Linked DNA regions of Solanum lycopersicum. Each later gene encodes a partner of the first gene's protein in a complex. Links are inferred from orthologs where the notes say so. Each region holds a gene or a part of one and is shown in the gene's direction. Other genes may lie near its edges.

Region 1 (3,024 bases):
ACACAATCTTCATTGTGGAATACATTAATTTATTAGCACATATTTCTACAAGGATATCTTTGTCTTTGGTTACAAGTATAAAAATGATGCCAACGTTTTCAAAGATCCAACCGCAGTTATCAATGTACCAATTACCTGGAAGGAATATTAGGCAGCATGCAGTTATCCTAGAATTTATGTATTCTGGTGTTCACAATGCTTTTTATCTACACTACTTTACTTCCCTAGTTATAGTCACACCTATCAGCAATTACCTTACTGTTGTCCCTGGAAACGATGTAGCGTTGGCTATGAGTCAGATTAAGTAGTCATCTGCTCCATTGGTGCTCTGTTGTTACACAAGTTTGAAAAAAAATAAAATGAAGTAACATCAATTTGAGTAATGTTACCAGTATATATAAAGAAGTAACATCAATATGAGCTGATATTTCTTTTCTGATGAACTACTTGTGCTACAGAATTCTGGACATATGTGGAGAAATCGTTTACTTGGACGGATCTTCCTTCCAAGTTTCCCACAAAATATGTACAGTTTCCAGTGAGTAACTCTTGTTAATTCTCTCCTTCCCTGCCTTCTTTCTTCTGAAAGTTTGGTTGGAGGATTTTTTCTTGCTGTAACCTTCTTTTTGTCCTTTCAGTTGTTAATAGCTTCTGTCCATAACAACTACGTTGACTGTAACAGATGGCTTGGTGATTTTATCTTGTCCAAGGTGAATATATTGACCTGCTTTCTACCTGAATTCTTTTTTTTTACCGTTCTTCTATATGAGCTTATTAGAAAAGAACTGTTCTATTGTATGAATTATTGGTTGGCTTTATCTTTCTTACCGGGAGATATTTACTCTTCTGATTTCGTCGAGGGGAAATCAGAGCAAATCTGGGAACCTCTGGAAAAGCAAAGAATAGCTTTCTTTCTTAACCATGAGCTGTCAACCTCAAGTTGAAAATTACTTGTTAATGGATTGAGGATATCTTCTCGTCTTTTACATGGTCTTCTCATATTTTACTTGTACTGATCCTTAAATTTTGTTGGAAATACTCAAGAGTGTTGACAATGAAATTCTATTATGGGAACCAAAGATGAAAGAACAATCTGCTGGAGAGGTTAGTTGGTCATGTTTGAACCATTTTTTTAATAATTATTTTCTAAAATTGGAAAATTTCCTAATGTATATTGCTCTACATTTAGGGCACCAGTGACGTCCTCCAAAAGTATCCTGTGCCGGAGTGTGATATATGGTTTATTAAGCTTTCATTTGATTATCACTACAAAACAGCAGCTATAGGTAATTCTAAGTGTTAAATCAAAATCTTGAATGTGCTTACTGAGTTTTCTCAACAGTTTTTCTGTTAGTGTACTGTTCACTGGATAATGCTCAAATTTGGAATCAAATGTTACTGCTTGTGTAACCCCCCACCCCCACCCCAAAAAAAAAAAAAAAATCTGGGGTTGCTGAGTGTGGCATGAAGTCATTTGTAACCCAGAGGCTGTCAAGATTATCTAATATTATCCCAAGTAAAATATAAACGAAAAGTTTTTAGGTCCATTTGTTGCATGCATGCTAGATTACTCATAGTATGTTTTGACCCAAGCTTGTTCTGGAATTCACCCGTTGACCTTATGTCTAACAGGAAATAGAGAAGGCAAGATCTTTGTCTGGGAAGTACAAACAAGCCCGCCAACTTTGATTGCAAAGTTAATGTCTATCCATCCCCCTCCCTAGTTTCTGATCCTTCTCGTTGATGTTTTGGATTTAAAGTGTTTGTGCTTAACTTTTGCAGGCTGTCTCATGTTCAATCTAAACAACCAATTAGACAGACTGCCATGTCTTTTGATGGAAGGTTAAGATCCAAAATCACTTTTTAACTGCTTCTGGTGTATGTTTTTGATATATCTTTCACTAACCGATTGTCTTTTTTCTTCAGCACCATACTTAGCTGTTGTGAAGATGGGACTATATGGCGCTGGGATGTGGTAGCAACAACTTTTTGAGTTTGAATGTACTATTATGAAGGATCGAAAGTATATCTAAACATGCAAACACACCTGTAAATTCTGCTTAACTTTATCTCTGACCTCTTTCTTGTGAGACTATCTCGATGTGCCAGTGAATCGAACTTGTACTATTAGTGCTGGACATATGGAGGTCGATGATCTGGGAAGGTTGATAGGACGTCAAACTTGTCTAGTTATCGTTTTTAGCATTATTACTATGACTCCCCTTTTATCTTGTTCTTCGTATTATTTCGATTGACAAAAATACCTTTGTAAAAGAAAGAAGGAAAAACAATCACTCTGTATTTGGGAGTTTTCTTTTGCATAAGTTATTTTGGTTTGTACTTGATTAACTTATTAATACTTTGATGTTTACCAAAATATGTACATAAGTGTATACAAACCAATTTGACCAATTTATATTCATAGCGTACCTAATTTTATCTCAGAAAGAAAGGCAGTGGTAATGCCAAAAATGATGCTCAAATTTGTCCAACAAAATGATTTTCCATATCACTGAAAGCAAAATAGCAAAATGTGTAAGAATCAAGAAACCCTTAAATGACAAAAATCAACGATGTGCTTAATTTGGCCAAACATAATGATCTTCCATAATGATGGCAAAATACAATTCAATATCAAGAAACCCTAACATAAGTGGGTGATGAAATTCTTTTTTTGGTTTTGCCCGATCATACATCAATACAAAATTTACTATGCAACTGAGGTTTCTTTCTTCTACTACATTTTCTCGCTGTGCTACATGCTCAACATATTTTGGATAGTACATATGTACAAAAAGAATGGAAAGCCTGTATGATTCTTTAACTATAGTAACATAACATACTACCAAAAATGACTTACAGGGGAGGACAAACAAATTAAACTTGAGTTCGCAATTGCATCAATAATTTCTGCATGTTCTCCAGTTTCTGACTCAGCTCTTTAACGTCATCGAGAGAAGATGTTGAATTAGCTAGTTCAACACTTAAAGAAGAACATTTGGTCTGTGATTCCTTGATCATGTC
Region 2 (4,344 bases), on another chromosome or scaffold:
AAGTGACTTAAGGAACCACAAAACTCCTTAGGTTGCTTCATGTAAATTTCTTCGTCCAACTCTCCATTTAAAAAATTGCTTTCACATTCATTTGATGGATTTCAAGATCATATACCGCAACTAATGCAAGTAGCATCAAAATGAATGTAATTCTAGTTACTAGCGAGTATGTGTCAAAATAATCAAGGCTTTTTTTGTCTAAAACCCTTGACGACAAGTCTTGTATATTAGTTTTCAATAGTTCCATAAGCTTTCATTTTTTTATTGAAGATCCATTTTGAACCAAAAAGTTTGTTTCCCGGAAGAAGATCAACCAACTCCTATGTATTGCTCAAGATTAAATAAATCTCATTATAGACAACCCATTACCAAAAGAATGAGTCTACAAAGAAAAAACTTCTTTGAATGTTTGAGCCTCATATTCAAGAAGAAATGTTACCAAATCATATGCAAAGAAAGTAATGTTCTTTGATGTTTACTATGTCTTGAAATCTATTTATTAAGTCCAGTCACCTTTGATTCTTCTTGAGGTCGTTAAAACCCTTTATAAACAACTTAAGTCTAATTCTACCAATGAACTCAACATTATCTGATTCAATTACCGTTTACCATGAATATTTGAATGTTCGAACTTATGAACCAAAAATCGACACACTTTATTGTTTGTAAAATATTCAATGATTCACTTCAGCCAAATAGTGGCACCTTAAAATTTGTTGAATCTTGAACTCACAGTAAATGACACTTGATTTTTTGCAAAAAAAAAAGTTATAACTTCAAAAATTTAGTACTTGATGTGTATTAGTTAGTATGTTAATATCTAAGTAAATATTAAATATTTATAGCTATCAAAAACTGCTTCAAGAAAAATTCAATGGTTCAAAAAATGCAATACCAATTCGTATCGGTGCTGCATCGGCGACCATTGACGTAAAATTGTATATCACCCTTCAAGCACCATTTCAAACCAGGACAACAATGAGATGTTTCTTTTCAACCAGCGTTGGATCGGTGAAACATTGATGTATAATTATACAACAATACGATACAAACTAATGTGTTGAAGAGATACATATCTTCTAGCGATATCGCCGATGCAAAAAAATGTGTCTCGCATGTAAGAAAGGATATAGGGGCAAAACTTTTACTCAAAAGTGATCTTTCAATAGATCATTTTTTAAAACTAAAATCAAACCCAAATTCAAATCTGATGCCGAATTGAACTAGCAATTCAAAATGTAACTATATTAGATCTTATTCATAACAAGTAATACATAATATTTGATTGAAAATAAACACATATATATATTATTACATAATACAAGAAAAGTATTGTTAATATGAAGAAAAACAAAGCAAGTAGAAGGGTACAATTAAATCCTTTCCAATTAATATAGTAGTATAAATGTAAAATTTGGAAATGAATATTATATTTATTTAGGTATGAAAAGCACATGCATGTGGAGGTGATAAAAGTTAAAGTGAATACCTCCAACAGAAAATATGATAGAACCTTATCTTGAGAGTAGAATAAAAAGCGTGAGAGAGACGAGCAAATTGTAAAACAGGCAAATAGAGCAGGTCACGCTCCTAAATTACGCGTGAGGATCATCTCTAATTGGCGTGCAGAAATTTGGTATAACACCAACTAACATTAACAGGTCCCAACTTTTCTTTAACACAGAGAGAGAATTTTTCATTACTCTCCAAACAAACCCCTCTCTCTCTTTCTCCTTCGATAACCCTAAATTTTTCTCTCCTTTTTTTTTTATTAATCACATCAGGTACTTTCTTCAGAGTTTCTCATGTTTTTGTTAAATATATTTGTTTTCTTATTGGTTGTTTGCTGAATGTGTTTGGTTCCAGATCTGTTACTCAAGTTTGTGATTGTTGATTGTTTTTGTGAAATTTTGTTTCTCTTTGCTGGGTAGTATATATATTTTGGGTATTGTTCGTGATGAGGTGTTTTGACTGTTACGAGTTGGTTGCTGGTTATCTCTGGTTTGTTTCCTTGCTGAATATGGGCAATGTGAAGAACTAGGACACTAGTAATTTCCAAATGCTCATTGCGTCTGTGAATGATTTTAGTATTTCTTGTTGGGATAGCTGATTTTAGCATTAGCACCATTTTAGTGTTGCAGATTCTAGTTTCAACACTGATGCATGTGCTGATTTATAGAAGTCTCAGACATTTTTGTTGTTATTGAGAGAAAGGTCTCTTTGGGGGGTTAGAATAGCTTAAGTTTTTTTATTTCTTCTTTTTTATTAACAAAAGAGGTAGGCGGGAGCAAAGTTAGTTAGGTAAGAGAAAGTGCAGTTAGTTTTACCATGACCAGAATAATATCATTAGATGTGAGAGGTAAAGAACTTCACAAAAGGATGGTGATTAAGGGAGGTTTTGAAAGGATGATTTTTCTACTGTGCTTTCTAAAAGATAATAAAGGATCAAGTAACAGATGCAAAAGTTTGAAGAGTGTGGAGTAACAAATAGGTAGGGTGGACCAATCTTGAATCCAAAAGGGTAGCATGGGAAATCTTTGTGGTTTGGGACATTGGGGTTTAAATAGGTAAGTATACATACTCTAAGAAAGGAAAGAGAATCAAAATACATAATTACAGGAGTAAATCAAGCTATACTATATTTACAAGATCATATTTTATCATATTTATGAGAATCTTACAATTCTTTTTAATGTGATCTAATCTTTCCTCTGTTTTAGTTTGTGTCTTAGTTTGACTAGGAGTAGACACGGAGTTTAATGATGTAATTTGTCAATTTTGTGGTTTTAAACTAGGATGCATATAACATTTTAAAAATATCCTCTGAATCTTGTGATCATAAGTATATCATGTCATTTCCATAAGGGAGTGTCATTAAGGTTGAAGTAGGAATATTGAAATTAAAAGCTCACTAACATAGAGATGTGTCATTCTTTTTTAAACAAACTAAGTAGGATACTTAAAAGAAAAGTAATGCAAAAATGGAGGGAGTAAGGTTTTGTGTTTGGTGTGGTTGTGTGTAAATGACTATGTAGTTTCACGTGTGTTTGTGTTTCTGACTTTCTGTTGAAATTTTGGTAACTTAAATGTTCTCTAAAATTTTTTAGTGTGGAATTTGAATTGCCTGTTCCTAAGATGCTGGATACAAGGGTAATCAATATTTTAGGAAAATGTTTGTCTCTCATTTTAGAGACCTAAACTGCAGAGATGTATCACTTATGAAACTTAACATCTTATTGTCACAGGGAGGGGTTGCTGCCACATCCTTATTTGGCTATCATTGATGGATTTATAAAGGTGAGAATGTCCACTTAATCTCATGTCCTGGGAGTTATCTACCTACCACCTAAGCATGAGAAACTGCATTAGGATAAAGTTGTATTTTTGTTTTGGTATCTGTAGATTCCTTGTTTAAATCCTTTCCAGACCTCCATGGTATTTTGAGTATAAAAGAATAGTCATAATGATTCTTGTATTTACTCTTCAATTCTTGGTTCCCTTTTTTTTGTTTCAGGATATGTATATATACCATTTCTTGGCCCTAGGCTCGCAATCTTAGCCATGGGAAGATGGGAAACTAGGTCTTCTGGCCTACATCCAATTTAACTTCCTATTCTGATTTCTTTTTTTTTTCACACATTTCATGGTGGTTAGCTTTATAGGTTTCAACGTGAATGTTTTAGTCTTATGGTTTCAATATGTTTAAAATTTTTGGTATTGGTGTAGTTCGGAATATATAGATGATCCTGTAGCAATTGTAGACATCTTAGAATCCTTGTAAGATGATATAGGACCTAGAGATAGGTTTCTTTTTTTGGGTTGTTGAGCCTACTTAGTTGTATGTAGCTTTGTGATCTAAATTTTTGGGATCCCAGCCTTAATGCGGATGATTATATACAAACTTGTTACTTTTGTAAAAAAAAAAAATCTCTATAAGACTAAATTGAGGATGAAGCTCGTAAAATCCATGTATGTTATAGTAGTTGTTTTCTATAATATTTGAGGTTACCCTCCTTAAAAAAAGTGAACCATGGTGCATAAAATTAAGAAATGATGCTCAATAAATTAAGGGATTTATTAGAGCATACAAAGATAAGTATAGTTAATTGAGACTAACTTTCCTACTTATGTTATTATTTTTTTATGAAGTACATTTTGTAGATGGCATGAAGAATATGCAGAAATACAAAAAGAGTTAACAAAGAAAAGTCTGCTTAATATAAAAGAGATTAGACCAGAACTAGGGAACAAGAAAAGCCCAAAAAGTGATTTATGCATATTGATGATATCATCTATGAAATGTACTTCATAAAAAAACCATAAGTAGGGAAGTCATTGTCAATT
Region 3 (4,296 bases), about 57 Mb from region 1:
TCATAAAATTTAATTTTGTTTCTCGTTGAGGTAGAAACGATGATTTGAAATGGGTGAACATGATTTGAGCGGGTGGGTTTTTATTGTGTCCAATTCGGTCGGGTGGATATGGTGGAAGGTGAGATATTTTAAAAGTCACATGACATTTTCTTAAATTTAAGCCAAAAACATGAACTTTTAATCAACAAAAATTAATCTATTAAGTAAAAGGACATATATGAGTCATTTCTATAACAAAAAGAGGATTATAATTTATAAGTATAACATTAATGTTTCAAAAGGTGAAAAAATATGTAATTATAAAGGAAAAATGTTTAAACGTGTCATTGAACTTTGGAAAAAAGACTTATTTATGTCATTTATTAAATTTTTATCATTTGAGAACAGACTCATTTATGCAATTATTTTTTAACTTCAATTTTGAAAAATTATTTTTTACACATGACCAGTTTTAACTCAGTCATGTCATTAATTTTATTTTTTTAAATGTCAAAATTCAAAAATCATTTGTGGAGTTAAAAAATCCGCCCTTGTTAGAAAGATATTAAAAAAAACACTAGTTCTAAAATTTCAAAATCCTGCTTTGGTTCTTGTTCTGTTGCTATTTTTGATACTAGATCTTTGCTACATTGTGTTTGTTTAGTCCATAATCAAATTTACAAGTGATTTTAAGTTGCGGAGAAAATTTTACCATTAAAGAATGGTGTAGCTTTATAATTTTGAAGAAATTTCAAGTGAGTCTTGTTCTGTTAAGTTAAATTCGAGATTAAAAAAATATTGAATTTTGGTATCTAGCTCGGAGGGAAGCTACTCTTAAATTTTGAGCCGATTTCCTTAAGAATTGATGAAGTTAAAATTTAGGAGTTCGTGGTATTCTTCTTATGTTCTTGGTGAAAATAAAATTATAAAAAGAACATTTGATCTAGAACCCCAATTAAAAAATTATTTGGAATTTTGTTGAGATAATCGAAATTAAAAAATAATAACACAAATAAATATTTTTCAAACAACTATATCATAACTTAATTAAACTTTTAACGGAGGTTAATTATGAATAATTAACAAAGATATGAATATTATTACTAATCTCATAAAAAGAAAGGATTAATGAAGATATGAATAATGATCGCCCATAACTACAAAAAAATATTATTTACAACATGTGCTACTTTATATCATCTAACATTCTATCTTTATATTCATGGAGCATCTTTTTTTTTTAAAAAAATAATATTTGTCCTATAGTTAGTGGCTTACGTATCGTAATCAATAGCCCATATTATTATTATTATTATTATTATTATTATTATTATTATTGTTGTTGTTGTTGTTTTTACGATAAATATAATATTTATTTTTTGTCCTACAAATCTGCAGCTCTTGTAAGTTGTAACCAACCACTAGATGACCCCACTACCTCTCTCTCTATCACTACTGCTTCGGGTACCGAAAAGCCCACGTTGAAGACCCCATGGATTCCTCCATTTTCACCCCAATTTTAATCTCCTTCTCCTTTTTCTGCTATTTCATTCTCTCTCCATCAAACTGATCGATCACCAATACCTTTTTCTCTTCAATATTTGCTCTAAATTATCACATCTCTGCTGTTTCAGCTGCAAAATTGGTTTGTTTTGGAACTGCATCCATGGATTTTTCTTCCTTTGAAGGTAACAATGGTGAATCATACAATTTCATGAGTGTTATTTGGTTTTTGTCAGATAAAGTCAAATCAAGTTTCAATAATTGATCGGAGAAATTAATTGGGATAGAGGAAGTAACTTGTTAAATTTTCTGATCTGTTTATTTTTCATCCTGTTAATGTGTTATTGATAACGAAATGGTGTTGATCCCATCTCTTTTTTTTTCTTTTTTATGTAATTGATTTTTATTATCTCTTTGCATATTATATAGTATGAAATGAAATTTAGTTACTGTTTTATACGTACAAAAAATATAGTTTTTTATTCTTTTTCACATTGTGATTTTTTTTTTGGTTTACTGAAATGGGTGTTAGGATTGGTGGTTGGTTACCTACTTTAGTTACCTACTCTTCTGGGGTATGTATTAGTTATTATTATATTTGGAGGATGACAATGATGCCATTTTTTCTTTGCCTACTGTGTTGTGATCCTTCACATTTTACAATTTAGAAAAGGAGGATTACCTATAAGGACAGTTGAATTATGGAGGTTATTACTACCCTATGATGACACAATCATATTATAAGATCTGTTTGGAATTAATCATGGAAATTGAGTGCTACTATTAGGTGAAGTCAAACTAGAAATAGCTAAAGAATTTACCTTTTCTGTTTTTTTTTCTATGCTTTTACAAATGATCTTTCTGATTCTTTTCCTTCCTCTTAGGCAGTTACCCGTGTGGAAAAAAGGATTTTGTTTTTCAGTTTTTGTGGGAAGAGGATATATCTGTGAGAAGACTGTCGAAAATTTATAGGGAGAGGAACAATCTCCAGCAGATTGTCATCGGTGTAGAGAAACATATTATTAGAAGGCCATTAGAGTCTTTTAGAGAATGCTTATGAAATAATGATTTGACATGAAATGTATAAATGGGGAAGATATATAATCAATGGATATTTGACAAGTATTAAAACAATGAGAGTAGATATGGAGGAATTGTGTAACCGGATTTTGCACCAACTTACAACAATAACACATACCCAATGTTCCCAAAGGTAAGGTCTAGGGGAGGTGGAAGTTGGGAAGGTGGGATGCATACAGACCTTACCTCTACCTTAGCGAGGTGGAGAGGTTGTTTCTGCTTAACCCTTGGCTGAAGTTGAAAAAAATGCATGTATAAGAGACTTCTTGAGAATAACAACAACTTATCCAAACTTTTATTTATTTTTTTACACTAGAGATATGGTTTGAACTTATAGTTTAACTTATAATTATAGATGCACTAACCATTTTTTATACAAGATGATGTTCTATGTTCATGTATTTGCTGATAATGTTGAGCCAATTATTATAATTATAAGAATAATAATTACTATTAATATAACCTAGTGAGCTAGTAAAAAGTTGGAATTATGGATACTTGCTCAAAAGGGGAGAGTCCTCAGTCAAGTAGAAGTAGGGTAAAATATATGCACTATGTAAGTATAGTACTATAAGAACAATGATGTTGAGATGAGATTAGGTCAGATTGTGACATTTAAGATGCAGACATCTTAGATATATAAGTTTGGTCATCAGGAGAATGCCATGAACCAGTGGTGTTACATATCAAAACTAAAACATGATGTAAATTGTTCTCTTGATAAAAAGAATCAAACTACAAACATGATGCTTGATACGGAGGAATGGTATGAAGGTGCGATTTGAATGGAAGATGTCTAACAAAGTGAAAGACAAGTTTGATAGACAATTGTGAGACAAGGTGTTATATAAGACTCAATGTAGGAATTTTAAGGCCCTACCACATCCTCAAAAAGGAGCACCGTAAAAATGTAAATATATGATGGATGTTCAGTCATCAGAAATGATCACATGTAACAAAAGGTTGAAAGTAGAACACGCATAGGATTAGGATGTTGTTCTTAGATGGTTTGATCATGTTTACTGAGAACTCCTAATGAACTCATCCCATTTTTTTAGAATATCACAAAGTGCACATATCACTCATAAGGGATATCCTTCAGGGTGGCTCAAATGGTTTGGCTTAGCACTTCCATAATGGAGGTCTCAAGTTTGAAACCCCTTGCTAGCGATAGCAGGGGATTGGTATTTTGGATCAGGCTCGTCACACGGGGCTTGCCTAGTGCGGTAGACCTCTCATGTGTGATTTGTGAGTTATTGCACATGAGTAGGGTTTAGCATGTGTACATGCGACGGGTAGTGGCTGAAGGTTTCCTTGTCATAAAACAAATATAATATGTAGTGGATATATAGGAGGGTGCCTGACATAGTTTGATCACCCTACTTAGACCGCCAAATGCACCAAGTCTATAGAAGCAACATTATGATAATTGAAGGTGTTAAACGAGCACGGACTACACTTAAATCACATGGAGGGACATTGTTTCTAAATATGTATGATATTTTGAAGTCAATGAGGGCTTGGCTTAGGATTTGGAACGAATGTCCTTCAACTTATCAAATGAAATTTTGTTATGAGCAGAATACGGTAGAAGCAAATGACTCATATAGGTAATACCAAATAATTTGGAACTTCGGGTTAATGTTAAGCAGTAGTCATACTTATATTATGCCCCACATCTGGTTAGTGCTATATATTTATCAGTTGTGTTGTAAGTGTTAGATATAGCAAATC

The links.
Region 2: FIE (region 1) and VIN3-like protein 1 share a complex: the UniProt entries of both Arabidopsis thaliana proteins name them as parts of the plant homeodomain / polycomb repressive complex. The link is inferred for Solanum lycopersicum from reciprocal best matches to the Arabidopsis thaliana genes FIE and VRN5.
Region 3: FIE (region 1) and VIN3 share a complex: the UniProt entries of both Arabidopsis thaliana proteins name them as parts of the plant homeodomain / polycomb repressive complex. The link is inferred for Solanum lycopersicum from reciprocal best matches to the Arabidopsis thaliana genes FIE and VEL1.

Annotation. Positions count from the first base shown.
Region 1 is NC_090806.1:68,819,783-68,822,806, reverse strand, and holds the end of FIE (fertilization-independent endosperm protein), read left to right. Parts: intron 1-458; coding exon 459-538; intron 539-638; coding exon 639-710; intron 711-1,044; coding exon 1,045-1,104; intron 1,105-1,189; coding exon 1,190-1,286; intron 1,287-1,632; coding exon 1,633-1,696; intron 1,697-1,782; coding exon 1,783-1,842; intron 1,843-1,926; coding exon 1,927-1,993; 3' UTR 1,994-2,413; downstream 2,414-3,024. Other genes in the region: uncharacterized protein, read right to left, coding at 2,878-3,024. UniProt on the Arabidopsis thaliana protein: Polycomb group (PcG) protein. PcG proteins act by forming multiprotein complexes, which are required to maintain the transcriptionally repressive state of homeotic genes throughout development.
Region 2 is NC_090804.1:22,642,063-22,646,406, forward strand, and holds the start of VIN3-like protein 1, read left to right. Parts: upstream 1-1,503; 5' UTR 1,504-1,784; intron 1,785-3,245; 5' UTR 3,246-3,297; intron 3,298-3,514; exon of another isoform or gene 3,515-3,581; intron 3,582-4,344. UniProt on the Arabidopsis thaliana protein: Involved in both the vernalization and photoperiod pathways by regulating expression of the related floral repressors FLOWERING LOCUS C (FLC) and FLOWERING LOCUS M (FLM).
Region 3 is NC_090806.1:12,265,618-12,269,913, forward strand, and holds the start of VIN3 (vernalization insensitive 3), read left to right. Parts: upstream 1-1,411; 5' UTR 1,412-1,645; coding exon 1,646-1,667; intron 1,668-4,296. UniProt on the Arabidopsis thaliana protein: Maybe involved in both the vernalization and photoperiod pathways by regulating gene expression. Binds preferentially to dimethylated histone H3 'Lys-9' (H3K9me2).